4 linked regions of the Elephas maximus indicus genome follow. The protein of the gene in region 2 purifies or fractionates together with the protein of the main gene of each other region. This does not show direct contact. Links are inferred from orthologs where the notes say so. Each region holds a gene or a part of one and is shown on either strand. Other genes may lie near its edges. The genes, in order: DDX42, SF3A2, SNRPA and U2SURP.

Region 1 (7,886 bases), on a different chromosome or scaffold from region 2:
TTCAGAAAGGGATGTCATGTTTGGTAAAGGGCCAATGAAAATAAGGGAAACCCATGATGAGACCGAATGACACAACAGCCACCATGATGGACTCTAACAAACCAACTATCATGAAGATGGCACATGACCAGGCAAGGTTTCGTTCTGTTATACTTAAGGTCTCTATGACTCAAGGGCAACTAACACTAACAACATCACTGAGGTGTTCCCTAAAATATCCATTTAGCCTTTGGATAAGGACTACAAAGTACCCATGATAGCGAAGGAGAGATACCAGTGTCTGTGTGTATAGAATCAAAGTATCCATAGAGTCAGTTTACAAACAGAACCTTGAAACTCTTGATGCCAAAAAAAAAATCTTAATTACACAAGTTATCAAAGTTTCTTAGAAAAACAGAAAACTCAGAAAGCAAAAAGGAGCAAAATCTAAAATTTTGTGTTTTTACTTGAAATTTCTTCTCCCAGGTATGTAATTTTGTTGATCTCTTTCCCTATTTTTTTTCTATGTACATGCGCCTAACAATGTGTATACACGAAAATATATAACTAAAAAAAAAAAAACTGAAACCATACTGTACAGTTTTAGTGAGCTGATTTCATCTACTCATACACTGTGAATGTCTTTAAATGTCAATAAGTATATCCCTCCACTACTGCCATACGCTGTGAAACATACCTGTATACCACCACTGGTCTGTCAGTTTTTCGTACTACGGTGGGTTGTATGTTGTTGTAATGCTGGAAGCTATGCCACTGGTGTATCAAACACTAGCAGGGTCACCCATGGCGGGCAGTTTCAGTGGAGCTTTCAGACTAAGACAGACTGAGAAGGATCTGGTGTTCTACTTCTGAAAAAAAAAAAAAAAAAAAAAAAAAACTGGCCAGTGAAAACCTTATGACAGCAGTGGAACACTGTCTGATACAGGAGCCGGAAGGTTGGACGGCACTCAAAATACAACTGGGGAAGAGCTACCTCCTTAGAGTCTATCTTAATGCTGTGAATGGAGTAAACTTTTGGGACCTTCATTTGCTAATGTGGCACAAGACTCAAAATGAGAACAGCAAGCAAACATCCACTAATAATCGAAATGTGGAATGTACGAAGTATGAATCTAGGAATATTAGAAGTTGTCAAAAATGAAATGGAACCCATAAAGATCAATATCCTAGGCATTAGTGAGCTGAAATGGACTGGTATTGGCCATTTTGAATCAGACAATTACATGGTCTACCATGCTGGGAATGAAAAACTGAAGAAGAATGACATCCCATTCATTATCAAAAAGGACATTTCAAGATCAATCCTGAAGTGCAACACTGTCAGTGATAGGATGATATCCACACACCTATATGGAAGACCAGTTAATACACCTGTAATTCAAATATACGCACCAACCACTAATGAGGAAATTGAACATTTTTAACCAACTTCTGTAGTCGAAATGGATCAAACATACCATCACAGTACACTGATAATTACCGATGACTGGAATGTGAAAGTTGGAAACAAAGAAGGAGGATCAGATAGGTGGAAAATAAGGCATTGGTGACAGAGACGACACTGGGGATGGTATGATAGAATTTTTTCAACAACATAAATGGTGACTATACATGTGTGCCTTGCCCAGTGGAATACAAAGGAATCAAATCGACTACATCTCTGGAAAGAGATGGTGGAGAAGCTCAGTATCATCAGTCAGAACAAGGCCAGGGGCCGACTGTGGGACAGACCATCAATTGCTCATATGCAAGTTCAAGTTCAAGGTGAAGAAAATTAAAACAAGTCCATAAGAACCAAAATATGACCTTGAGTATAACCCATGTGAATTTAGAGACCATTTCAAGAAAAGGTTTGACACACTGAACACTAATGACCAAAGACCAGACAAATTTTGGGATGACAACATACATTAAGTAAGCAAAAGGTCATTAAAAAGACAGGAAAGAAAGAAAAGACCAAAATGGACGTTAGAAGAGACGCTGAAGCTTGCTCTTGAATGTAGAGTAGCTAAAGCGAATGGAGGAAATGATGAAATAAGAGTTGTACAGAAAATTTCAGAGGGCAGCTGGAAAAGGCAAAGTATTACAATGAAAAGTGAAGACACCCAGAGTTAGAAAACCAAAAGGGAAGAACACACTCAGTATTTCTCAAGCCTGAAAGAAGGAAGTCTCAAGTTGCAATATTGAAGGATTCGATGGGCAACATACTGATTGCTGCAGGAAGCATCAAAAGATGATGGAAGGGATACACATACGTTCGACCATTTCAGGAAGTAGTATACGATCAAGAGCCAGCTGTACTGAAGGAAGAAGTCCAAGCTACACTGAAGGCACTGGCAAAAAACAGGGCTCCAGGAACTGACAGAGTATCAATTGAGATGTTTCAACAGATGGATGCAGTGCTAGAGGTGTTCACTTGTTTACGCCAGGAAATTTAGAAAACAGTAACCTGGTCAACTGACCAGAAGAGATCCACATTTGTGCCCATTCCAAAGAAAGGTGATCCAATGCAAATGCGGAAATTATCAAACAATATCATTAGTGTAACACTCAAGTAAAATTTTGCTGAAGATTATTCAAAAGCGGTTGCAGCATACATTGACAGGGAACTGCTAGAAATTCAAGCCAGATTCAGAAGAGGACGTGCAATGATGGATATCACTGCTGATGTCAGATGGAACCTGGCTAAAAACGGAGTACACTAGCAAGATGTTTACCTGTGTTTTACTGACTATGCAAAGGCTTTCAACTGTGTGGATCATAACAAATCATGGATAACACTGCCAAGAACGGGAATTCCAGAACGCTTAATTGTGCTCATGAGGAACCTGTACATAGACCAAGAGGCAGTCGTTCAAACAGAACAAGGGTGTACTGTATAGTTTCATGTCAAGAAAGGTGTGTGTCAGGGTTGTATTCTTTCACCATACTTACTCAAACTGTATGCTGAGCACATAATTCGAGAAGCCTGGACTATATGAAGAACATGGCATCAGGACTGGAGGGAGACTCATTAACAACCTGCAATAGGCAAATGACAAAACCTTGCTTGCTGAAAATGAAAAGGACCCAAAGCACTTACCGATGAAGAGCAAAGACTACATATAGCCTTTAGCATGTATTACACCTCAGCATAAAGAAAACAAAACTTTCACAACTGGACCAATAAGCAACATCACAACAAACAGAGAAAATATCGATGTAGTCAAGGATTTCATTTTGCTTAGATACAGAATTAACACCCATGGAAACAGCAGCCAAGAAATCTAACGATACATTGAATTGGGCAAATCTGTCACAAAAGACCACTGATCTAAGCCATGGTATTTTCAATCACCTCAGATGCAAGCAAAAGCTGGGCAATGATTGAGAAAGCCTGAGGAAGAACTGATGCCTCTGAATTATGGTGTTGGCCAAGAATATTGAGTATACCACGAACCATAAGAAGAACAAACAAATCTGTCTTAGAAGTACAGCCGGAACGCTCCTTAGAAGTGAGGATGGTTGAGACTTTGTTTTACTTACTGGACACGTTATCAGGAGGGACCAGTCTGTGGAGAACATCATGCTTCATAAAGGAGAGGATCAGCAAAAAAGAGGAAGACCCTCAACGAGACGGACTGACACAACGGCTGCAACAACTGGCTTAAACAGCAACGATTTTGAGGATGGTGCAGGATGGGCAGTGTTTGATTCTGCTGTACATGGGGCCGCTATGACTCCACAGTACCTAACAACAACTGTTTTATGTTGTGAAACATATCATTATACCTGTATCTTTGTGAATACCCGTAATTATTGCCTTAGAATCAATTTTTAAAATGCAACTACTTAGTCAAAAGGAATATTAGTAATTAAAGTTTTAGAAAGTTTAATTACTACTTACACCTATGGAAAAGTATCTACTATACGCTGAGTAAAAGAAGTATAAAAGAAGGTAGGTGGTATGATCTAATTATGTAAGATCATGTGTTACAAATGCAGAGACAGCTGGAAAGCTGTTTATCAAAATGTTAGTGGCAGTTATTGTTGACTTTTACTTTTTCCCTTGTGTTAAAGTTTACGATTAATAATAATTAAAATGCTTACAATGGGCTCTGAAATCCACGTGAACAAAAAAACCAAACCCGTTGCCAGGGAGTCAATTCCAACTCACTGCAACCCTATAGGACACAGTAGAACCGCCCCCACTAGGGTTTACAAGTAGCAAGAAGTTCCAAAAAACTGCTTTATTAAGGTGTATAAAGCATTTAGAGATGACACTGTTGCAGGGACCAGAAAAACATGCTGTGTACTTTTCTGGTTCTACATCCCTCCCCTATATACAGGTTTTGTTTGAGTTGCCACTATATAGCACTTGAAAACTCTGTTGGCATAGCGGTTAAGTGCTACGGCTAATAACCAAAAGTCTGGCACTTGGAATCCACCAGGCGCTCCTTGGAAACTCTATGGTGCAGTTCTACTCTGTTCTATAGGGTCGCTATGGGTTGGAATCGACTCAACGGCAATGAGTCTTTTTATTTTATATAGCACTTTGTTCAGTCTGCTTAGTATTAGATTTCAGTTACACGGTGTTTATCTTCATCCTTGGAAACCCTGGTGGTGTAGTAATTAAGAGTTTCAGCTGCTAACCAAAAGGCCGGCAGTTTGAATCCATTAGGTGCTCCTTGGAAATCCTATGTGGCAGTTCTACTCTGTCCTATAGGGTCGCTATGAGTCAGAAGCGACTCGATGGCAACGGGTTTGTTTTTTCTTTTTTATCTCCAGCCTTAGACTGAGAGCTCCAGATAGGAACTGTCATTACTCAACTTGGACTTTCCGTAACAGTAAGCACCCTACAGTAGGTACTTAGTAAGTACAGGAAACCTGTGAGAGCCAGAACTTGACAGGACTGCCTTGTTTTTCCAGGTCTCGCAATTTTTCACCTTTGACATGGTGCAGTCACCACTTTTCTATCACTTTCTAAAAAAAGACTCGTTGCTGTTAAGTCAATTTGAACTCGTAGCGACCCTACAGGACAGAGTAGAACTGCCCCATAGAGTTTCCAAGGAGCACCTGGTGGATTTGAGCTGCCAACCTTTTGGTTAGCAGCCACAGCACTTAACCACTACGCCACCAGGGTTTCCCGTCACTCTCAACTTAGTGGAAACCAAGTTTTCCTTCTCTGACAGGTTTACCTGTTTTACAGGTTTTACTGCACTAATTTGCATTTAACTAAGGCCATCTGCTAATTTCTTTAAAAATCCAGTAAGAGGAATGAACATAATTCTAGTGAGATGAGATTTAGTAAGAATATTCACAAGCAAGAAAATTTCAGCATCTGATAATACTTAAGCCTGCTTTTACAAGAGCTGCTCCTAAGCACCCAAAATGATGGACTAACCTGTTTTCCCAGTACATACCATGTAGAATGAGGGGCTAATAAATGAACTATAGAAATCAGAAGGCAGGCAAAGAAGGGATGGTGGAAAGACGTTCAGGTTCAGATGAATTAAGAATAGTATGAACAATCTTTAAGTGAAAAGGAAAACTTCCAATGATTTACTGGAAGCCTGCTGCAGACGGTCAGGCAGTGTACTAAAGATAACAGTCCCTGTTCTCCCCATGAGTTCACAGTATAATCTTAGCCAACAGCTACAAAACAAGGTGAGTGTTCTAACAAAGGTACTGCACAAAATGCGTTCACTGGTGGCTCAGGAGAGAGGAAACAACACAGGCTGAGTGGGGGGAAGGCATGGAAGTTTTCAGGAGATGACACTGATGCTAAGTTTTGAAATTTGAAGAAGCATTAGGCTAGGGAGGAAGTATTCGAGGACAGCATTTTTGTTTGAGGGAACAATAAGTACTACTACAATCAGAGAACTGGAAATAGTTCAGTGCAACTAGAGTTCAGTAGGACATTTGGGAGAGCTACACGACACGTGTCCAGAAAGACAGGCAGGGCCCAAGTGGCCAGTTTGGTATTCTATACTAAGAATATACAAAACAATATTCTGCTGGCCATAAGGCATATTTTTAAGCAAAATGGAGAATTCTTCAGGTCAGTGCTTTAGAAAGCACAGATGAGACAGCAGGAAAAGCTGGAGGCAAGGAAAGTGATTATAAGATTACTAACAGAAGCAGGGAAGCCCTGGTGGTGTAGTGGTTAAGTACTACAGCTGCTAACCAAAAGGTCGGCAGTTCACATCCACCAGACGCTCCTTGGAAACTCTATGGGGCAGTTCTACTCTGTCCGATAGGGTCCCTTTGAGTCAGAATTGACTCAGGGCTACGGTTTTTTTTCCCCCCAATGGAAGCAGGGATTCATACAAATACTAGTACACCAATGCTCACTGCAGCATTATTCACAACAGCCCAAACTGGAAACAACTCAAGTGTCCATCAACAGATAAATGGATAAACAAAATCTGGTATATATACATACAATGTTATTCAGTCATAAAGAGAAGTTCTGACACATACTACAACATGGATGAACCTTGAAAATATGCTGAGTGAAGTAATTCAGACACAAAAGGATGAATGTTATATGATTCTAGTTATATGAAACATCTATAACAGGCAAATGCAGAGAGAAAAAAGGTTATTAGCGGTTACCAGAGGCTGGGGGAACAGGGAGTTACTGCTCAAGGGGTACTGAGTTTCTGTTTGGGATGATGAAAAACTTGGAAATAGTGGTGATGATAGCAGAACACGGAGAATATAATCAATGTTACCGAATTGCACTCTTAAAATGGCAAATTTTTTTTATTATTTATAGTTCACCACAATAAAATTAAAAGAGAGAGAGAAGTCAGGTAAGCAGGAGAACTAAAAAGCCTCTATTGGCTGTACACCAGGCGTCATCAGGGAAAGCAGTCTCAGTGGAGCAGCAGGGCAGACCCTACCCTGCAGGGTTGAGAAGTGACTGGTATGTACGTAGACGGTAAAGAGGAATACTGACGGTGGGGGCATTAACAGAGCAATTTTGTTTTTTTAAGAACTTTAAACATGTTTATAAGCAAAAGCCAACAGAGAAATATTGAAGATGGGGGGGGGGAGGCGGCAGCAGAAAACTCACAGGAACAAGGTCCTTGAGGTGACCCAAAGAGGCAAGATCGAAACCTTTAACAAGAAAAGCAAGTGACTCTTCCTCCTCAGCTGGAGGGAAGGAGCAAAGGATGGGGCAAAGAGACAGACCACCACCTTCTGTCAGTTTGTCATACTGTGGTAGCTTGGGTGTTGCTATGATACTAGAAGCTATGCCACCAGTATTTCAAATACTGGCGGGGTCACCATGGTAGACAGGTTTCAGTAGCGTTTCCGGACTAAGACAGACTAGAACGAAAGACCTGGCGATCTACTTCAAAAAACTGGTCAATAAAAGCCCTATGGCTCACAACAGATTATCATCCGATACAGTGGTCGCACCAATGTACTCCAGTATACCAAGGATTATGAAGATGGTGTAGGACCAGACATGGGGTCACCATGAATCGGAGCCCACTCAATGGAAACTAATAACAACAGATACAGATATATTAGTCCTACTGAACAATCAAAAGGCTCATATTACAAAAGAACCAAACACTGGGTTTTAAAAATTCAACTTGTGACACAGACAGGCTGTGCAATCTGGGGCAAGTGAGGGCTGCTTAATGGCTCTCAGACTCAGCAAGAAGCAAAATGAATATATCCAATACCTTTTCCTATACTCTTCAGAGATTTGGGTCAACCAAAAGAAAACCGAAGGCCCCCAGGTCTTTCACTGGTAGATGCAGAACACAGTGCCCATCCACCTAATTTACTGTCTCTAGCAAGGACAAACAACTGTGTCTTCTGTGTATCTTACTGCGTGGTACAAATGGTTAATGCACGTGGCTGCTAACTGAAAGGCTGGAGGTTTG
Region 2 (7,398 bases):
ACCAATACTGGTCCATTTCCGCTCACTAACACATATGATATCGATCTTTATGCATTTCATTTTTGACGACTTCCAATTTTCCTAGATTCATACTTCATACATTGCACATTCTAATTATTAATGGCTGCCTGTAGCTGTTTCTTTTCATTTTCGGTTTTGACACATCAGCAAATTAGTGTCCCCATTAAGGTCGACTCTACTTTGAGGAGTCAGCTCTTCTCAAGTCATGTTTTGAGTGCTCTCCAATCTGAGGGGCTCATTTTCTGGCAGTATATTATACAATGTTCTATAAGGTTTTCACTGGCCAGATTTTTTCAAAAGTATATTACCAGTTCCTTCTTCTAGTCTGTCTTAGTCTGGAAGCTCCCCGAAACCTGTCCCCCATGGGTGACACTCCTGGCATTTGAAATATCAGTGGAATAGCTGCCAGCATCACAGCAACATGCAAGCCACCACCGTACGACAAACCCTCATATGAGTGGTGGAGGATCAGTATAGGAATACACAAATAGATCCATTGGAAAAAAATACATAGCCCTGGAACAGGCTCACCAACTTATATGAAGAATTGTCTAATCACAGAGGAAGCACACTACAGGGCACTGCCAGAAACTTCAGGCACTTTAATATGTGGGGTAGAGTCAACTAATTATCTAACTGGAACAATGAATGTATTCCTCCATACTCCACATGCAAAAATAAATTCCAAGTAGATTAACTTTAAATGTCAAAATGTAAAATAACACGTTCAGAAATTATAAGCACAATTTCATGACATTAGTAGAGAGAGGAAAAAAAAAGACACAAAGGAAGAGATTGAAAATTCAATTATATTAAAATTTAGGACTCTATCGAAGGAAGCAAAAAATGAGTGAAGACCATAAGTTACATACTAGGGAAAAATTTTCCAATGAAACTATATTTTTCCAAACTCTATAACGAAGCCCTAAAAAGTCACAGAATGGCAAATTTACAGTGGGAAAACACGCACAGCCTTGTCACTATTGCAGTAGTGCAAGATCACTGCAGAATAAACTCAAAGTAACATACGATTTCATAAGCTTTACAAAGCATAATTTAATATATTTGAGAATCCCCATGTTGGCCAAAACAAATGGAACAGATAAAATACATATGCTTATTTTGTGGAAGGGAAAATGGGTAGAGAACACTGTAATTTCCTGATCAATTTAAATTTGGCTATGATCTGCAACTCAGCCGTTTTCCCTCAGTTGGAAGTTACTGTGCATTTAGAGCACGGAAAAAGAATGAACAGAGCAGCACTATTCACAAAAGCAAAACCTAAACTTGAAACTTTAACAATGCCGGGAATGACAAATTGAAGAGGAATGACATTGCATCAGGATTGGAGGAAGATTTATTAACAACCTGCATTATGCACATGACACAACCTTGTTTGCTGAAAGTGAAGACGACTTGAAGCACTTAAACTGATGAAGACCAAATATCATAGCCTTCAGTATGAATTACACCTCAACATAAAGAAAACAAAAATCCTTACATCTGGACTATAGGAAATATCATGATAAATAGAGAAAAGACTGAAGTTGTCAAAGACTTCATTTTACTTGAGTCCACAATCAACATCCATAGAAGCGGCTGTCAAGAAATCAAAAGACACTGCATTAGGAAAATCTGCTGCAGAAGACCTTTTTAAATTGTTAAAAAAACAAAGATGTCACCTTGAAGACTAAAGTGTGCCTGACCCAAGCCATGGTTTTTTCAATTGCTTCATATGCGTGCAAAACCTGGTAAGTGAATAACAAAGACTGTAGAACGATAATCAATGCCTTTGAGTTGTGTTGGTGATACTGAATACACCATGGAGAGCCAAAAGAACAAATCTGTCTTGGAAGAAGTACAACCAGAATGTGCTTCAGAAGGAAGGATGGCAAGACTACCTCTCACATACTTTGGACACGTTATCAGGAGGGATCAGTCACTAGACGACATCATGCTTGGTAAAGCAGAAAACCAAAACCAAACCTGATCCCGACTCATAGCAACCCTACAGGACAGAGTAGAACTGCCCCATAGAGTTTCCAAGGAGCGCCTGGTGGATTCAAACTGCCGACCTTTTTCGTTAGCACCCATAGCTCTTAACCACTGTTACCAGGGTTTCCTTGGTAAAGCAGAGGGTCTGAGAAAAAGAGGAAGACCCTCCATGAGATGGATTTACACAGTGGTTGCAACAATGGCCTCAAGTATGACGACTGTCAGAATGACACAGTATTGGGCAGGGTTTTGTTCTGTTGTACATAGGGTCGTATGAGTGAGAATTGACTCGACGGCATCTAACACCACCACCAATAAATATTTTCCACCTAAAGTGGAGTAACTATGGTCCACAATGAACTTGCTAGTTCTATTCGTGTTTCTTACTACTTTATCTATGCCAAAATCCTATAAAATTAAAAAATCAAACCCCTGCCATGGAGTCAATCCTGACTCACAGCAAACCTATCTGGTAGGATACAACTGCCCCACACAGTTTCCAAGACTGTAATCTTGACAGAAACAGATTGCCCCATCTTTCCTCTGCTCAAAGGGTGGTGGTTTAGAACTGGTGACCTTTCAGTTAGCAGACGAGCGCGTAACCACTGCGCCACCAGAGCCCGTTAACAAACCAGGGGAGGGGGAGACGCCTCCCAACAACCTCGCTTCCTTGAGAACCCCCAAGAGCTTCCCAACAGTCCTTGCCGGCGGGGACGCAGGCGGACGACGGAGCCCGGTGCGGGGCGCACTCAGGCGGCGGCAGCGGGGCGCGCACAGGCTAACTCCCCGGGCCTGTCACCCCGCATTCCTCACAGACTCCCGGCGACGCGGACACCCCTGGTCTCCGCCCACGCACGGCCTCACCTATTAACGCCCCGACACACCTAGGCCTCGCCCCCCTACCTGGCCGTCCCGACGCGGCGGGCGCGGGACTCCTCAGCCGGGCTGGGAGAGCACAGCGGCCGCTTCGCTGCGCCGCCGGCCGAGGCCCAGGCCCCGGAGAAGAGGCAGCGCCGGCAGCGGGAGGCTGCAGGCCAAGTCCGGCTACGGAGGCCCCGCGGCCCGGCACCATCCGGAACCCCAGCGGGCCCCCCCCGCGGACCTGGTACCGGGCCAGGCCGGACGCCGGCGGCGCCACAGACGTACCTCACGCCCCAGCCGGCCGACCGCGAATCATGGCTGCCGGCCGCGCACGCGCACTTCCGCTTCCTGCGCTGAGCTCTCGGCGGGAGGGGCGGGGTGCCGGCGCGGAGGCAGAGGGCTCCGCCCAGTGGTGGGCGCGTCCGGGACTTGGCTTTGGATTTGGGGTCTCTGTCTCTTTATCCTCCATAAACAAAAGCTTTAAAGCAAACACCGTTGACAACTAGTTAATCCTGACTCATATCAACCCTACAGGACTGAGTAGAACTGCCCCAGGGGTTTCCAAGGCTGTAATCTTTACCGAAGCACACTGCCACATCTTTCTCTTGTAGAGCCGCTGGTGGAATCCAACTGCTTAACCACTGCGAATACAAAGGATTCAAATTGACTACATCTGTGGTGGAAACAGATGATGGAAAAGCTCAATATCATCAGTCAGAACAAGGCCAGGACTGTAAAACACCACCAATTGCCCCTATGCAAGTTCAAGTTGAAGGTGAAGAAAATTAGAACAAGTCCTATGAGAGTATGACCTTCCTTACACTCCATCTGCATGTAGAGACCATCTCAAGAATAGGTCTGATGTGTTGAACACTAATGATCAAAGTCCAGATGAGTTGTGGGACGACATCAACGAAGTCCTACATGAAGAAAGCAAGAGGTCACTAAAAAGATAAGAGAGAAAGTGAAGACCAAAATGGATGTGAGAACAGACTCTGAAGTTTTCTCTAGAATGGACTAGCTAAAGACAAAGGAAGAAATGATGAAGTAAAAGAGCTGAACAGATGATTTCGAAGGTCAGATTGAGAAAGCAAAGTACTACAATGAAATGTGCAAAAACCTAGGGGAAGAACATGCTGGGCATTTCTCAAGCTGAAAGAATTGAAGAGAAAATTCAAGCCTTGAGTTGGAATATTAAAAGATTGTCGTTATGCTTGAGCCCATTATTGCAGCCACTGTGTCACTCCATGTGGTTGAGGGTCTTCCTCTTTTTTGCTGACCCTCTACCATGCGTGATATCCTTCTCTGGGGACTGGTCCCTCCTGATATCATCCTTGAAGAATGTGAGACGAAGTCACACCATCTGCTTCTCTTGAAGGATACTGTAGGCAAAACACTGAACAACTCAGGAACCATCAAAAGAAAATGGAAGGCTGTAAGGTAATGCTATTCAGCTATATGCATACCTCCTAATGGAATCAGCTTTGCTCTTCCCCGAAGCATGCTGGGGATGAATTCAGGATGGACTCAGGCTAAGGTACAACGGTGGGAGTGGCATGACTGGGCCAGCGGCCAAGCATGAGGAATGCCTTAGCAACAGGAAGGAAAACATCTGGGCCTGGGCGTGAAGTCCCTGGGAACACAGACTGCCCAAGAACGTGGGAGAAAAACAACGAGCCTTGGTCCTAGCTGGAGTGGTACATAAGGTTGGGTTCCTTGCTAGGTGGTTGCAGAGCACTGAACTGGGCCAGCTGCCGTCCCTTGCTAGGTGGTTGCGGGGTGCTTAACTGGTCCAGCTGCCGCCCTGAACCACGGTCCCATAAGTAAGCTTCCCAAATAAACCATACATATGTCATGATCACTGGTTCCAGAGTCTTTCCTAGGTCTCTTGGAGATGCAGCTAACCTTGGGTTCAGGTACCATTGGGTTGTTATCCAACAATTGGCAAGCCAGCCAGGAGACTGAGGAAACCTCCATGAGTGCTGGACATATGGCAGGGAGAGGGACCTTGATGGTAGGAATCCCTGGATGGCCCCTGTCCTCCATATATGTGGCGGGGAGGGGGGGTCGTGGCTATGGATACCTGGATCCCACCGCATGAGTACGGGGACGCTCCAAAAATGCCTAAGGGCATTGAAGATATGCTGTGTCAGCTGGAGTCCCCAAAGCGAAAGCCAGATGGCCATGCTGAGGCGGCTTGTGTGGGGTGGCTTCTACTGGCAGCGCTGAGAGGGGCGTCCGATCCCGAGCCAGCCGCTAGGGCCCTAACTAGGCAGCTGGAAGCAGAGCTGCAACTGGAGGGTTTGCGGGCAGCATACTCCTCCTCCACTGAAACATTAGTGCCCCGTTTGCAGAAGCAAGAGGCATTTTCGGGGGACATCCTGGGGTGGCCAACGACCTCTATGTGGGGAGGTCTGGCCCGTATGCTTTTCTGTGGGAGAAATCCTGGGGTGGCCAGCCAAGCCTGGCTAGCTCAATCGGTAGAGCATGGGACTGGAGCTACTTGGAGGGGATAAACAGGTCTCTGGCGCTGAGAACGCCCTGTAACACCCAGTGCAAAGCAAGAGTTAAAACAGCAGGGAAAAAAGAAAAAACAGGAGTAAAAAGCCCGTCAGGATAGCTTGTGTTGAGCGACCTTGAAGAGACCTCAGAATTCTCTGACAGCTGCCCCCACCAAGGTAACTGAACAGCAACCTAGCTGTAACTGCAATAGTAAGGGGAAAACTAAAAGAGGGGGCCCACCTCCAGGTTACCAGGTAACTGGGCTGGACCCATGCTTGCACTTGGTGTGATGGAGGTGTGGCCCCATAAATGAGTGAGGGCTCTGCCAACTTTTCCCAGATCTTTCAGAAATAATTAAGATTGAGGATTAAGCCTAATTCCTTTGTTACCAACGAGGAGCAAAGGCCTTGTGTTAAAATTAAAGTCCAGTGAGGTATACTTTGGGTCTGAGGTCACTCTCACTGAGACACTTACCCCAGCCTGACTATGGAGAAGTCCCTTGGAGCCCCTACAAATCCTTACTGCATGTACTGATGATGTCGATGTATTAATGCACACCTTTGTAGACTTTTGCCTCCAAGTCCTGATGGGAATTGCTGCAGTTAGGGCCATTTTTAGAGGGGCACGAGGAAACTGTGACATGGGCTATAGCTAACAGCCTGGCCATTCAATCTGGCCACTGAAAACCCTCGGACTGACATATAAAGCAATCCCCTACAGAGATGAGACATCTGGACGAAATAAATAACAAAAGCAGTCCTGCTCCTGAGAAACTTTTGTTACTTGTGTGGATAGTCATCAGAAAAGCCCCTGTGCTGAGAGTGGAAAACAGCCAACGAGCAGACCGGTCTTACCAGCTGACTGCAGAGGCTGAAGCATTGTCTGCTCCCGGGTGAAGAGATGTGCAGTCAACCACCTCCTGGATGTAAGAGAGAACCATCCATGGAGATTCACACACCATCCTAGACGGGGCCTACATACATGGACTGCCACTGCCATCAGAAAACGCTGGACAACACAGAAAATCTGACCTGCCTACAAGACCCTGGCCAAGACTAAACCTGTGCAGGGACAGATTCCCGAGCCAACAGGCCAGGGTGTTCTCAGCAGGCAAGTCATATCAGGGCATTTTATCCCATATAGAGGCTTCCACTGGATCTTCAATGAACTCGTCACACTCTTTATCACCCCAAGACGTAGGGGCAAAGGAGCACTTCAATGGACAGGTTTAAATGGCTGATGGGAGGGGACGAGACAACCCCAGCCTGGACCATGCATCTCAGACAAGCAGTCTGGGGTCTCAGTGCAGCAGTTCCCTGCAAGGGCATTTCTTATTTGTGCCGTATGTTTGATCAAACTATCTATTCTATAAAATGTGCGTCTTTGGTGTAAAATTGTTCCTGACAAAAGATCTGGGTTCCACAAAGGCACTGACCAGAGCCCACAAGAGGAGGCCAATCCTATGGCTCCCTCTGCCAAGGGGTGGGAATTTCCCTCACCCCTAGACTAGAGGTGTGGCCAAGGTGCACCACAGGTGCGGGAAACCATCTGCTGGGTGACAGGGGGCCAGAGGCCACACACTGAAATGATCATACTCTGGACCCCCACTAACGAACATGTTCTGGCTCTGGTAGACACTGGAGCAAAGTGCATCCTGATGTATGATAACCCAGGTAGGTTTAAAGGGCCACTAACACCTATTGATGCGTACAGGGGTGGGGCTGTCAGGGTGTGCCAAATTAAACTAGTGCTGCAGATTGGAAGGCTACCCCTAAAGGTCTACCAAGTATACAGAGCCCCAATACTGGAATACGTTCTGGGCAGAGATACCTTGTTGAGGCTGGAGCTGCAGACCTCCGGTGAGTTCTACCTGCAAGTGAGAGCCATAAAACCTGTAGTACAAGGTAATGCTAAATGGTTCCCTGTGCAGTTGCACTCCCCAGCTCTGGTCATGGCCCTTAAGCAGTACTGCCTCCCTTGCAGACACTGAGAAATCACTGAGGCCAGGTGCTACACCCA
Region 3 (7,300 bases), on a different chromosome or scaffold from region 2:
ATATGCACGGGAAAGCTAGACAATGCAAAGGAAGACGGAAGAAGAGTTGACGCCTTCAAATTGTGGTGTTAGCAAAGAATATTGAATATATCGTGGACTGCCAAAAGAATGAACAAATCTGTCTTGGAAAAAGTGTGGCCAGAATACTCCTTAGACGCAAGGACGGCGAGACCGCGTCTTACATAGTTTGGACATGTTGTCAGGAGGGATCAGTCCCTGGAGAAGGACATCATGCTTGATAGAGTATGGGGTTGGCGGAAAAGAGGAAGACCCTCAACGAGGTGGATTGACACAGTGGCTGCGACAATGAGCTCAAGCATAACAACAACTGTACGGATGGCACAGGACCGGGCAGTGTTTCGTTCTGTTGTGCATAGGGTCGCTATGAGTCGGAACCGACTCGACGGCACCTAACAACAGATACTAGAGGATGGGTGAAGGAAATGTGTGTGTACCTGTTTGGGGTGGGGGGATGGGAGCAAGGGTGTTTTGAAGCAATTAGCCAGAAATTCTTTGTGACATTTCTAGTTTTCATCTCTTACCTTTTGTCCTCATGCGCCTAGTTTGAGGCCCAGGCATTCCACTGGACTCAGGACCACTGCCTAGCCTCTAGCCTCCCCTCCTGCCCACTCCAGTTCACCCTTCCCAGCTGTGAGGATTTTTCACAACCGACAACTGACTGTGTCCCTTGCATAGCTCTACAATGCCTTCAGGATAAGCTCACCAATTCATTCAGCCCAGAAGGCCCCGAGAGCCAGGAGTGCCTTGCTCATGGGAAGCTTCAGCCACACAAAACTACTTATAGTTCCCAGAACATCCCAGGCTCTTTTGTCCCTAGGTAGTTATATAGCTGGTCAAAGTCATGAATACCTTTCTCCCTCACCAAATGCTGCTTCCTCAAGCTTTGGAGGGCTTCTACCAAACCCTGGTGGCTAGTGGTCAAAAACAACAGCTGCTAACCAAAAGGTCAGCAGTTTGAATCCACCAGGTGCTCCCCGAAAGCCATACAGGGCAGTTCTGCTCTGTCCTATAGGGTCACTATGAGTCGGAATTGACTTGATGTCCAGATTTGGGTTTTTTTTTTTTTTTGAAACTAAATGAATCTCTGTCCTTCTACATACCCAACCCCCTCCCCTTACTCATCCTGGCTGTATTCTTCCACCTGGGCCTCTCCCCACCATAGCCCTGATCCTCTGACTTGTCACAATCAGATGACGGGTCTGTCTCCTCCACTGGACTGTGGCTCCAACAGGGCAGGGCCAGGGCTGACTTGCTCCCCATGGTGCCCTCAGCACCTCACCACCTAGCATGGCCAGGCGTGATAGTTTAAAAGCATGTGCAGAATCTACATTCCTTGTTTTGTTTTTTTCCAACAGCAACTTTATCAGTAACCTCAAATTTAATTCCAGCAGCTCCTTTGTGATAACAACCAACACCTACCTGATTCTTCCTACCAAGTACCATAAAAAGCACTGCATGGAGATTTAGCTAATTTAATCCTCACAACATCCATGCAAACATGGTATTATGATCTTGCCCAGTTTTCAGAGCCCTGGTGGCACAGTGTTAACAGCTCCGCTGCTCACCAAAAAGGTTGGCAGTTCAAATCCACCAGCGGCTCCTTGGAAACTCCATCGGGTAGTTCTACTCTGTCCTATAGGATCACTATGAGTCTGAAGTGGCTTGATGGCAATGGGTTTTTGGGTTAGTCCAGTTTTCAGATAAAGAAAAAAGTGGGATTCAGTAAAGGGGACAACTTGCTTGAGAAAATAGAAGAGTCTATACAATGTCAAGTATGTTCTTAAACAGAACTCCAAACTGGTGGCCTCAGCTACTTTCCCTGCTGTGTGACCTTGGGCAAGTCAAGTCACACTTGAGTGTCAATTTTCTATCTGAGACACAGGATTAACAAAAGCTTCTTCCAGCAGGATTGTTAAATGGAAATTTATGTAAAAGTGCATAGCTCACCACGTGGTACAGAATGTTCCGTTACTGTTGCGTATTTTCATTGTGGACTGGTCACTGAAAACATGACAGTGACCTAGAGAGCTCCAGTCCCTGCCCTCACAGAACTCACAGGTTGGTGGGGAGACATGACAGCCCAGAGTGATCAGGACTTGATGCCCAGGGCCTATAAGTCAGAGGGAGACACCTGGGGGAGGAATGGTCCTGTGAACTGAGACGTGAAAGACAAGCAATAGTGGCCAAGTTAGCGGGTAGGGCGTGGATCAACTAAGGGAGTGTTAAAAGTCAGAGGACGCAGCATGTGCGAGGACCGAAGGGTTAGCTCTAACAGGCAGGCTGGAGTAGACAAAGATAGAGAAGCGATGGGAAGGGCCAACTCGTGCGGTACAGCCCAGCGCTTGGGCCACTGGAGAACTCACCATCCTTCTTGATCTTCTCGTTGAGATTGTTGATATAAATTGTGTGGTTGGGGCGGGTCTCGGGAACTGCCATGGAGCTAGATGCCGAGGTAGGGCTAAGAAAAGGAAAAAGGGAACTTCACGCCTGGGTTTTTCTAAATCCTTTGCCCCAACTCTAGTTTAACGGACTGCTCACGGATCTTCCTTCCCGGAAAAAGTCAGTTTGGGCAACGCGGCGGGGGCAGAAACCGCTTCTAATCCCCGCGTGCTAAGGGAAACCTCGAGAGGTTTACTACGAGTCCCAGAATGCTCTACGCGACCCAGTAGGCGGGGCGTCCTACATGGCGATTCCTATTGACTCACACGCCCAAAGGGCGGCCCAGGAGAAAACACCCGGATGTAAAACCAGTTAAGGAAGGGGAGACAAATTTGGGGCATCCTGGGCTCATGCAGCGGGAAAGTTTCTCCAGACAAGATGCGGGAGAGTCCGAGCTCCATCTGCGCCACCCGCCCGTCGCCGATGACCGCCTGTGACCGAGATTACTCACCGACCGGACGGCAGCTCCCACAAGTAGCGTCTCCTGAGTTCCTGAGGTTGGACCACAAAGCTTCCTCCCTTGACCCAGCCTTTGCCTTCCCGCAAGCCAATCTCCGCGTGGAAACTTGGCAGTTTGACCAATCAGAGTAAATTTCACCTCCCTCACCAATAGCTTGCCAATCAAAACGACACTTGGGTTCCCGCCTAGGGAGAAAACCCCGCCCCAGCCTGTGTGCTTCCTAGGCCGCCAGATGCCTCGGGGCGTACGGACCAATCAGTGAAGGCTACGCCCCCTCACGCGCTCCTTGCCAATCGAGACGCGGCTCGCTCTGCAGCTTCTTCCGGCGAGGATCCTTTGATAGCCCCACCTCTCAGCCCGCACTGCCATTTTCTACCACGTGATTGCCGAAGGGGCGGGCATAAGTTGCGAGTTCTACCACGTGACGTGAGAAAACCTGTGTGCGGCAGCCGCCATTTTGCGAGGAGAGGAGGCGGGTGTTTTCCAACTCCGTTCATTTTCCACGGGCATCGTCGCTCTTTCCGGCCTCCCGGAAAGGCTCAGAGCCTTTCCCAACTCGCAGACTTTGTTTCTCAGTTATTCCAGGACCCTGTCTACAAGTAGGCAGTTTTCTCTACCCAGTGTCCTTTTTGACCTCTGGCTCAAAGATCAGCTCAGAGGTTCGAACTTCGGCTTGGGGGTGGGGGTGGGGAACAGAGTCTAATTACCCCAGTCCTTAGCTCGAGACTCCTAAACCCCACGTGTTAGGCGCTACACCCCAAGATTGAGGCCCGTTATCCCGAAATTTAACTCATGAGTTTCCAAGTCTTGACCTGGACAAGTTAACTCCTAATCTCCTCCCCTCTCGTCCCGCAAACCAACCCGCCCCAGCCCCATACTAGCGGATGTGAGATTAAAAGACCCCACCCTGTTAACTCTCAGATCCTCGACTTGAGCCTGCACAAGCCCTGCGTCCACCTTGTTCGTTTCCCATTGTTCTGCTCCCATGTTCTAGGACTCAGCTGTAAAACCTTCGTAATCCCCATCTCTGCAGCCAACCTTAAACAGCATTTTGAAGGATCCTTCCCCTTCGCATTTCCACCGAGCTGCTCTCAAGTACTCCGAAATGACTTCTCCATGCTCATCTCTAGAGCCCCCAGTCCTTCCTCCCAGCGCCCCTACACCCCAGGCCTCCATTCCACCTCTCGTGCCTCCAAATTCCCCGGATGTAACTTTTCTACCCATTTCCTCGAGTCTCCAGACCCCTTTTCCCCCACCACCCCCACTGCCGCCTCCACCTCCTGCTTTGGGGCTTGCTCCCCCTCACGTCTTCGGCATGGAAAAGAGCCAGCTGCTGAAGGAGGCCTTGGAGAAGGCCGGCCCAGTCCCCACCGGCAGAGAGGATGTGAAGAGGCTTTTGAAGCTGCACAAGGACCGGTAGGGTCTCCTCTTCACCCACCCAGTCATCTTACCAACTACCTGTCCCAGATCATTTTATCCTCTTCTTGGGGTTTCCTGTTTGTCCTCAAGGTCAAACAGCCTGGTCGGACCAGTCCCCTACTGAGCCCTCCGGTGGTGGTATGGCTCCATCAATGAAGAAAGGTCCTGCCATCACAAGTGCCTAGTCCAGTGGAGGAGGCAGACTACCCACACCAAACAGTGACAGCCCAGAGTGGTCAGGGCTGTGATGGGGGAGCCCAAATGGGGCACCTGACCCAGCCTGGGGACAGAGGGGGCTTCCTGGAGAAGGGGAACCTTGAGTGCTATTGAGCAAGTCTTGCAAGGGGTGCATGATGAAGAGCAAACGGCTCATGCAGAGGCCCAGAGTTAAAGGGGAGCATGCTGTTTTAAAGAAATTGCAAGCATTTCCTCACTGAGACAGGGAGGTGGCAAAGGGGGACAGGAGCCAGATCACACATGAGGTAGCAGGGTGGGCCATGGTAAGGGGGCTGGACTTTGCCCTGAGGGCTCTGGGGAGCCATAGGAGGAACTACTTACGCTGGATGAGGCTACCTGTGACACGTAGATGGTAGGTGGTAAGACTAGAGTCAGAGCCCAGGGAGGAAGCTGGAGGACCAGACTGGAGAGGAGGGGACCAGACCAGGGTTGAGGTGGTGGGCAGGGGAAGGAGGTGAAGAGGACCCAGTTGAATGATTGCCTGGCTGACAGGAATCAGGGGAACTGACTTGTCCAGACTCAGAAGAACTTTCAAGCTCTTCTTAGTTTATAATTTGTCTTAAATGCCCCAACCATGATGAGGTTAATTAAACACAAATAAAATGAGCTCGTTATTGTGTCAGGCACCTTTCTCTAATGGTTTTTAAGTATTGAACTATCTAATTCTTTTAGCAATCTAATGAGGTAGAAGCTATTATTGTGTTGTTTTCCAGATGAGAAAACAGGCTCACAGAGATGAAATCACCGAGCTGTAGAATTAAGAGAAAGGGCCCAAATTGAACCTGGGCAGGGTGGCTTTGGAAACCCTGGTAGTATAGCAGTTAAGAGCTAAGGCTGCTAACCAAAGGGTCGGCAGTTCGAATCCACCAAGCACTCCTTGGAAACCACATGGGGTAGTTCTGTCCTGTAGGGTTGCTATGAGCCGGAATTGACTCGACAGCAACGGATTTTTGGTTTTTAGGTTGGCTTCGCACTTTAAACCACTGTGTTGTAACATCATCTCTTTTTTGGTCAGGAGCCCTGGGTTCCCCTTCAGCCTCTCTCTCTTACTGACTCTGAGATGGAAATGAAGACTCTGGGGCTCTGCCCTCTCCTGAGCCCTGGAGGGAAAGGAGGAGGTTGGGATCACCAGAACTTTTCCCCAGGCCTCCCCAGGGGGAGGAAAGGGGGGGCTGGTCAGACACGTAAGGACTTATTATTTTAGGCCATCAGCCTAAATTTTTCGGGATTTAGGTGACCATTTAATTTCACCCACGTTAAAGGATTTTCACCTTATTTAACAGTTTAAACGTTTGACTGCGAACCAAAAGGTTGCCAGTTCAAATCTACCAACCGTTCCTTGGAAACCCTATGGAGACAGTTTTGCGCTGTTCTATAGGGTCGTTATGAGTCAGCATTGACTCAGTGGCAACAGGTTTGGGTTTTTTTTAAAACAGGGTTTAGCTGTAGCGGCATGTCTTTGAGGAATTTTCTCTAATCTGTGTCCCTGGCTTCTAGTTGCATGGCTTTTGCATATCTGCTCTTTGCCTCCTCAGTAACTGAGAAGGAGCAGAGAGCACGCAGGGGGAAGGATGATTCCCGCTGGCCAGAGGGGGGAACAGGCTCAGACAGGGCAAGGGCCTCATGGGGGAGAAGGAAGTCAGTGATGCAGCCAGGAGCCACCCTGGGGCCTTAGAATGGCCTGGCCTGTGTTTCCTTCCTGTGTCCTTGTATCTTTGTATGCTCTGCCCCCACCTGGACCTTGAGGGGCCCCTCGGAGCTGATCCTGCCTGACCCGAGTGTGGCTCTGATTCAGTTTCAGAAGTGACCTGCAGTGGATCCTCTTCTGTGCTGATCTGCCGTCCCTCATCCAAGAAGGCCCTCAGTAAGTTCTCTGACCCAGGACCCCACCCCCTTGTCCACCCTGTACTCTGAGCCTCTGCCTGTGCTGGGCTTACCCAGAGGGAGGCTGGGACAAGGCCCCAGCGACCTGGGGAGGGAAGGGGGGACCTGCCAGGACACGGTCTCGGGTGTGTCCATAGCGAATAGAGATTTGGAATGAATGAGTGAGCAAATGAAGAAACTGACGGGTGAAAAGACGAACCTGGTCCATCCTCTCTAACCCCATACTGGCACCTTGTATTCCAGGAAACCCATGTGACGTTTCTCCCTGCCCACCCCTTCATCTCTCCAGCCCTAGGCTCAGGCCTTGGCCATTCTCTGTCCCATGGTGGGGAGTCAGGTCTCCCCATCTGGCCTGGGAGAGGGGAGGAGAACTCCCCCAAGGCAGCAAACCTGATCCCCACACTCCAGCTTCTAGGCAGAGGGGGCCCAGTAACAAAGTGACTTAGGGATTGAGGGGCTGGGCCCCTGCCTGTCTCTCCCCAGGTGCGGGCTAGTGGCCTTGTGGATGGCAGGCACTCTCCTGGCACCCCCCAACGGTGTCCCCTTGGAGAGACTGATGCAGGTGGCACTGGAGAGAGGCTACACCGCCCAGGGGGAGATGTTCTCTGGTGAGCTGGGAGCAGGAGGGTCTGCAGCTGGGTCTTCACTCGGAGAGGCCAGGGGTAGCACTACCAGGTGCGGGACAGGCTCTCATGCCATCCCTCAGCCCTTGTCGCACAGTCGGGGGGAGTGGTCATGAGGTGGACACTAGGTTCCCAACCCAGCTCTGCTACCTCCATGCTGTGTGGCCTGGGGCAAGCTGATCACCCTCTCTGTGCCTTATCTTCTGTGTCTGTGCAA
Region 4 (7,029 bases), on a different chromosome or scaffold from region 2:
ATAAGATTTATTAATGTTACAGATATTAACTCCTCTAATCCTACATCGACCCTGTTTAAAAAAAGGAGAGAGATTATATCCATATTCTACCGTATTACAGGAGAAATTTGAAGCTCAAGAGTTTAAGCAATTTGCCTTAACATCACAAAATCTAGCTAGTTACCAAGCCAGAATTCAAATCCAAAACTCTTGTTTATTATCAAACTCCATAACCTTTCCAATATGCTATGCTTCCATATTAATGAAGGGCCCCGGTTAGCGGTTGGCTGCTAACCGAAAGTCTGGTGGTTTGAGCCCACCAGCAGCTCTGCTGGAGAAAAGACCTGGCGATCTGCTTCCATAAAGATCACAGCCTAGGAAACACTACAAAGAAGTTCTATTTCATCTGATAGGGTTGCTACAAGTCAGAGTCAACTGGATGGCACACAACAACAGCCATATTAATGGAAAAAAAATCATGTCAACATCATTTGATTACTGAGATATTGATTCCCTTTACAGACATTGATAAAAATCTATGAACAGCATCAAGAGATGATAACCTAAAGTGACATAAACTAAAAAAAATTTTATTACTGGAATACTCAATAACTTATACAGCCATACACAACCTTGAGAAGGAAGCCTGAACATGTACACTGAAATGTTTTTAATGTGTCCAAGGCCTCAAATAAGAGATACTTACTTCAACAAGAAACAAAAATTGTGAAATGTATGCATGAAACATTACTATGGATGTAGCTAGCTTTGGTATTTTCTATCGCCTCAAACGTACATGAAAGCTGGACAATGAATAAGGAAGACTGAAAAAGAAGTGATGCCTTTGAATTATGGTGTTGGCGAAGAATATCGAATATACCATGGACAGCCAAAACAACAAACAAATCTGTCTTGAAAGAAGTACAGTCAGAATGTTCCTTAGAAGCGGGGATGGTGAGACTTCATCTCACGTACTTTGGACATGTTATCAAAAGAGACCGGTCCCTGCAGAAGGACATTATTCCTCGTAGAAGGTCTGTGAAAGAGAAGAAGACCCTCAACAAGATGGTCGGACACAGTAGCCGCAAGAGTGGGCTCAAACACAGAAACAGTTGTGAGGATGGTGCAGGACCAGGCTGTATTTCCTTCTGTTGTGCACAGGGTCTCTATGAGTCAGAACTGATTTGAAGGCACTTTTTTTAAACAATAGGGTCGCTATGAGTCGGAATCGACTCAACGGCAGTGGGTTTGGTTTTTCTGGTCTAACAATAATATAATAGCAGCTTGCTTTACTAAGGCTCCTTAATACAAAATGGGCTGCTTTTAGCATGAGTCTGTTAAGGGGAAGAGTGGGCAGAAGAGTAAGGTACACACCTGTTTCTCTCCCTCACAAGACAGGGGAAGTGTGTTGGGGAGAGGAGGAACTGACACAGGGTTCCTTGATGTAATGCAGCCAAAACTGGCCTTCTACCATACTTTTTTACATAACTAAAAAAAAAAAAAAAAAATTTTTTTTTTTTTTTTTTTTTAAACTAAAGGTTGACTGGAAACCGTGGTGGCACGGTAGTTAAGACCTATAGCTGCTAATCAAAAGGTGAACAGTTCGAATCCACCAGGTGCTCCCTGGAAACCCCATGGGGCAGTTCTGCTCTGTCCTCTTGGGTGGCTATGAGTTGGAATTGACTCGACAGCAACGGGTTTGGGGTTTTTTTTTTGCTTTTTTGAGTTTTTTTTTTTTTTTTTTTTGGTAAAGGTTGACTAGTAAAGTTATAAGTAATTATGAACTAATTATGAGCATCATTCACCAAACGGCATGAAGATTCACATTTATTAGAAACTGAGAAATCAAGTATAAAACGGGTTGTTTTGGTAACATAACCAGTTTGTCAAGGCAAACGTAAACCTGTTAACCGACTTACAACCACATACACAGTTTAGATGTGTTAACAGTCCCCAGAACTTTCAAGAATTACACAACTTCTTGCATCAGCATCAAAACGCTTCACAACAACTTCGTGTCAGTAAATACCTATTTCTTTCAACATGTTTTCCAGACGAGAAACTCAAAGTAAAAAAAAACGATTAAATGCCCTGCCCGATATGGCAACTAGGATCTGACGTTAACTACAACCTTACTGACAACAAACTACTCCTCTACAGCACTTTGGTTTCACAGTATACGAACAGGGTTCCCGTAAAACCAAATGCAAATTACTACTCTTAGATGGCTTCCAAGTCTACGGAAGCTCTCCTTTCAGTAGAATACACAACATGGAGATGAAGCCGAAGCCAAATCCTGGACCCTCAAAAACAAGTGCTCATTTTACACTTCCTCTAAAGTGAGGTAAAGACCACGTGTAGCGTGTAGCATTAACCTTGGCGGTGCAGCACTGCAAAGGAAAAGTGCTCCCGCCTCTGCACTTCCCACCCGCGTCCCTCCACTATTAGCCCTCCCCTCATAGGCAGCCCTAGAGGTTATTTATTCCCTGGAGGACACGAGGGAAACTGAGGAAGGCCGGAATGATCTGAGCTAAAGAACCCAAGATAAAGGGACGCAGGCACAAGCCCCGAAAAACGCTTCCCGCCTCTCCCTTGCTGTGTCCGGCGGCCTCAGACTCAACAACCTGAGACACAGGGGCGCGTTTTCACAGGTCTCGGACCTCACTGTGACTTCCTGGTTTGACTCCAGCGCCAAACGCGGGCCGAAGGACTTACGCCGTCCCCCCGGGCCCGCCAGTGTCGAGCTGAGTGCAGGCTGGGGCTTAGGGGCGACACCAGGCCTCTCAACATGCGCACCACGGTGCGGCGGCGCCCCGGCCTACCGTTGCGACCAGAACGCACACCCCCAACCCGCTCGCCTCCCGCTGACCAGAACTGTCTGTAGGCCCCAGACGACAGCGACAGAGCCACTGACTTACGAAGTCTTCTAAGAAATTACCTTTGAACTGGCCTTCTGAGAGCCGCCTGGCGTTTTGTCCGCCATCTTGAGCTTTGCCCCTCCTTCGGCGGCGGCAGCAGCACAGGAGAGTCGAGCACCGAAAGCGCAGATCTCGGCAGAGCCCGCCTGAGGCGCCTGCAAGGCTGAGTAGTCGACTGAAGAGGTAGTGAGCCCGGGCGGGGCCGAGTCACGTGACTTCCGGGGTCAGTCTTTCCACGGGTTGTTGTCTGTGTCTCTGTGACAGGGTTGTTGTGCTAGTGAATTTAGGAGAGAATCTCCTTGTTCTGATGTTCAGGACCAACTGATATCTCACACTCCTTTCCCAGGGCCAACACTCAATAGGTGCCAGCCGGTTGTATTTCCCAGGCGAGGAGGGAGCCGCTCCTTAAAGAGAAATGCACTGAACATCTGGGAGGAGCATTCATTTCAACTCAAAAAATAGGTTTGAAGCCAACTGGGAGTCTGGCGCTCAGTGAACAAAGACGCAGTTCGCGCCTCCTCGGGAGCTCACACCCCACTGGCAAAGGCAAACTTGGCATCTGCTCACGTTACTTTAAAATGGTCAATGTTGAGCTAGAGTTGTGCCTGGAAAGCCCAGAAGAGGGGCATTTGACCCAGTTCGGGAATCCAGCATTGCGGTTACCAGGTAAACTGACTGTTTAGGGCGCCTGCAAAATGGACACGAGCAGAGAGAGGATGAACGAGAGAAAGACGGTATTCTCAATCTAGCATACATGTAAATCTACTGTTCTGTACTGTTTTCCTGTTATTCACATAAATGGGGGAGCGCCATAAATTTTTTAGGTACTTAGGACTTTTTGAAAGTTCTAAATCGGGATCTGGATTCGCAGAAGGAAAGCTTGCTTGAGAAGGTCATGCTTGGAACCAAGCCAGGCAAGGAAAGTGGTAAAGACATTCCAGGCAGAGAGAGCAGTTGGAATAAAAGCTTTGTGGCATGAATGACTGCAGCCCGTTTTGCAGGGCACCACAAGCAGTCAAGTTTTATTAAACCAAGAGGCTTAGGGGGACGCGGCTGGAGAAGTGAATGGGAGCAAGTTCACACAGGATGCCGAGATAACCATACAGGAACCCTGTATTAGGAGTTAAGAGTTATATTCTAAGGATGAAGCGTCGCCCTCAATAGGGTTAAGTGGGGCTGTAATATGGTCAGATTTTCATTTTAAAAGATTGCTCAGAGCATAGCGGAAGACAGATTTAAGTCGGGAAGATCAACTTAAGATATTGGGGGTGCAGGAGAATTGGAAGGGACAGGGAACCGTGTTCCCTAATTCATTCAAAATATTTTTGAGCCTTGTGTTTTCTACAAAACCCTGTGCAAAGTGTTGTGGGGCTTACAAAGACGAGTAAAAATGTACTGTCTTCATTAAATTTAAAACCCACAACTAACATTATACTCGGTGAAAGACTGAAAGCTTTTCCACTAAGATGGGGAACAAGACAAGGACTCCTGCTCTCACCACGGCTATTCAACGTTGTAGTGGAAGTCCTAGTGTGGTGACATGAATTACTTAATATGGCCCTTCTAGCCATAGTTTGTGACTCCCACACAGTGATTGAGTGAGACTGTGCAAATAAGGCATGTGGAACCAGAGATAGTTAAGGTTATGTGTCACCTTGGCTGGACCATGTTATGTTATGGCAGTTATGTAATGATGTAATCATCTTCCATTTTGTGATTGCTATAATTAGCCTCTACTTGGTGGTGTATTGTAAATCCTAGCCTCTGTGCCTGTGGTTGTGGTCCCATTTGGGAGTGAGTTGTCTGTTGTATTAACGAGGCAGATTAAGGTGGGATGTGTCTTGAGTCACCACCTTACTAGAGAATGTGACTTAAGTCACCACTCTTACCTCAGTCACTACCCTACCATCCTTTTTCAAGTCATGCCCTTACTTGAGTCACACGTTTTATCTTATAAAAGATAAAAGGTGAGAGATGTGAGCAGAGAGCAGGGGACCCTGTACCACCAAGAAGAGCTAGGAGTGGTGCATGTCCTTTGGACCCGGGATCCCTGTTACAGAGAGCTGTAACACTGGAAATGGTGCAAGATGGTGAGAAGCAGCAGCAAGTGCAGCAGAGAACCGGCAGCAGCAGAACCAGGAGACTGGCATGAGACAGTGCCGCAGGCTTCTTCACCCCCAGAGCAAGGCAGCTACAGTGGGTTTGCCCACCTACAGAGTGAGAGACCTGAATGCCTTCAGGCAGGAGGCTTCCTAACCGAGTGGGGTGCCTCCGTGCACTTGTCAGCAGAGCTAGGCTTACCAACCCACGGAGGAAGAGCAAGCAAGTGCCTCTGGGCCGAGGCTTACTGGCAGGGTGGGATGCCCATGGGCAGTTACTGGTGAAGCTAAAGAGATGTGTAACACTTGCCCGAGCAGGGCAGAGGACAGCCTGAGGTGCCGGGGGCTGAGGGGCCAAGGGCCGGAAGAGAGGCCTGCCTGCAGGCATGGCTGAGAAGAGACTGTCCTGACTGAAGAGCTATATTCTGAGTGACTTTTGATCCTGATTTGTAGCCTGTGGTAGCACGGTGGTTAAGAGCTCAACTGCTAACCAGAAGGTCACCAGTTCAAATCCACCAGCCACTCCTTGGAAACCCTATGGGGCAGTTCTACTCCGTTATCTAGGGTCGCTACAGGTCGGAATCAACTGGATGACAACCGGTTTTTTGTTTTTACTTCCCTAATAAACCCCATGATTGTGAGTTTTGTCTGTGAGTTTTGTGTGGCCATTGCAACGAATTATCGAACCCAGCAGAGAAGTAGAGATTGCCGTGGGAGGGATGGCTGGTGTCAGAATTACTAAAAAGGTTGAAGAGAGGAGGTATGTCTGCCTTCTCGTAGGAATCAGCCTTGGTCTGTTGGTGCTGATAATGATTCTCTCTTCCCCTTGTGAAGTTAGATGAGGAGGTCTGACACTCCTGTCACACCATTTTTACACTAAAAAAAAAAGAAAAGGCATCCCAGTTGGAAAAGAAAAAGTAAAACTATAATCACAGATGACATGGTCTATATAAAAAATTTCAAAGACTCCAAGAAAGCTACTAGAGCTAATGAACTAATTCAGCAAAGTTGCAGGGTACAAGATCAAAATTTGAAAATCAGTTGGGTTTCTATATACCAGCAGTGAACAACCAGAAAAGGAAATTAAGAGAACAATACCATTTACAATAGCATCTAAAAGAATAAAATACCTAGGAATAAATTTAACCAAGGAGGTGAAAGGCTTGTTCTCTGAAAACTATAAAACATTGCTGAAAAATTTTAAAGGAGACCTAAATAAATAGAAAGACATCCTGTGTTCATGGATTGGAATACTTAATGTGGTTAAGATGGCAATATTATCCAAAGCAATCTACAGGTTCTTTGCAGTCCCCCTCAAAATTCCAACAGGACTTTTTGCAGAAATGAGAAAGCCAATCCTTAAATTCATACAGAATTGCAAGGGACACCAAATAGCCAAAAGAATCTTGAAAAATAAAAATACTTCCCAATTTCAAAACATACTGCAAAGCTACAGTAACCAAAATGGTGTGGTACTGGTATAATAATAGACATATAGATAAATGGAATAGAATTGAAATTCCAGAAACAGACCCATACATTAACAGCCAGTTACTCTTCATCGAGAGTATCAAGTTCCTGTGGGGACCATGATCATGGGGAATATCTAGCTCAATTGGCATAACATAGTTTATAAAGAATATGTTCTACATTCTACTTTGGTGAGTAGCGTCTGGGGGTCTTAAAAAGCCTGTAAGCGGCCATCTAGGATACTCCACTGGTCTCACCCCTTTGGGAGTAAGGAAGAACAAAGAAAACTAAAGATACAAGGGAAAGATTAGTACAAAGGACTAATGGACCACATCTACCATGGACTCTGCCAGACTGAGTCCAGTACAATGAGATGGTGCCCGGGTACCACCATTGCCTGCTCTGACAGGGATCACAATAGAGGGTCGCAGATAGAGCTGGAGAAAAATGTAGAGCAAAATTCTAACTCAAAAAGAAGGACCAGACTTGCTGGCCTGACAGAGACAGGAGAAGCCCTGTGAGTATGGCCCCCAACACCTTTTCAGCTCAGTAATGAAGTCACT

What was found.
Region 1: the proteins of SF3A2 (region 2) and DDX42 purify together in Homo sapiens (affinity purification with mass spectrometry; 3 studies listed by BioGRID and IntAct, with this or other methods). This does not show direct contact. The link is inferred for Elephas maximus indicus from reciprocal best matches to the Homo sapiens genes SF3A2 and DDX42.
Region 3: the proteins of SF3A2 (region 2) and SNRPA fractionate together in Homo sapiens (co-fractionation; 3 studies listed by BioGRID and IntAct, with this or other methods). This does not show direct contact. The link is inferred for Elephas maximus indicus from reciprocal best matches to the Homo sapiens genes SF3A2 and SNRPA.
Region 4: the proteins of SF3A2 (region 2) and U2SURP purify together in Homo sapiens (affinity purification with mass spectrometry; 3 studies listed by BioGRID, with this or other methods). This does not show direct contact. The link is inferred for Elephas maximus indicus from reciprocal best matches to the Homo sapiens genes SF3A2 and U2SURP.

Annotation. Positions count from the first base shown.
Region 1 is NC_064837.1:54,986,745-54,994,630, reverse strand, and holds the start of DDX42 (ATP-dependent RNA helicase DDX42), read right to left. Parts: upstream 3,022-7,886; 5' UTR 3,015-3,021; coding exon 2,935-3,014; intron 849-2,934; exon of another isoform or gene 677-848; intron 1-676. UniProt on the Homo sapiens protein: ATP-dependent RNA helicase that binds to partially double-stranded RNAs (dsRNAs) in order to unwind RNA secondary structures. Unwinding is promoted in the presence of single-strand binding proteins.
Region 2 is NC_064821.1:2,911,168-2,918,565, reverse strand, and holds the start of SF3A2 (splicing factor 3A subunit 2), read right to left. Parts: upstream 3,005-7,398; 5' UTR 2,920-3,004; intron 1-2,919. UniProt on the Homo sapiens protein: Component of the 17S U2 SnRNP complex of the spliceosome, a large ribonucleoprotein complex that removes introns from transcribed pre-mRNAs.
Region 3 is NC_064829.1:110,909,075-110,916,374, forward strand, and holds the start of SNRPA (U1 small nuclear ribonucleoprotein A), read right to left. Parts: upstream 3,021-7,300; 5' UTR 2,912-3,020; intron 2,480-2,911; 5' UTR 2,458-2,479; coding exon 2,385-2,457; intron 1-2,384. Other genes in the region: ACTMAP (UPF0692 protein C19orf54 homolog), read left to right, coding at 4,026-4,336, 6,372-6,440, 6,944-7,068. UniProt on the Homo sapiens protein: Component of the spliceosomal U1 snRNP, which is essential for recognition of the pre-mRNA 5' splice-site and the subsequent assembly of the spliceosome. U1 snRNP is the first snRNP to interact with pre-mRNA.
Region 4 is NC_064841.1:16,832,611-16,839,639, forward strand, and holds the start of U2SURP (U2 snRNP-associated SURP motif-containing protein), read right to left. Parts: upstream 3,021-7,029; 5' UTR 2,963-3,020; coding exon 2,918-2,962; intron 1-2,917.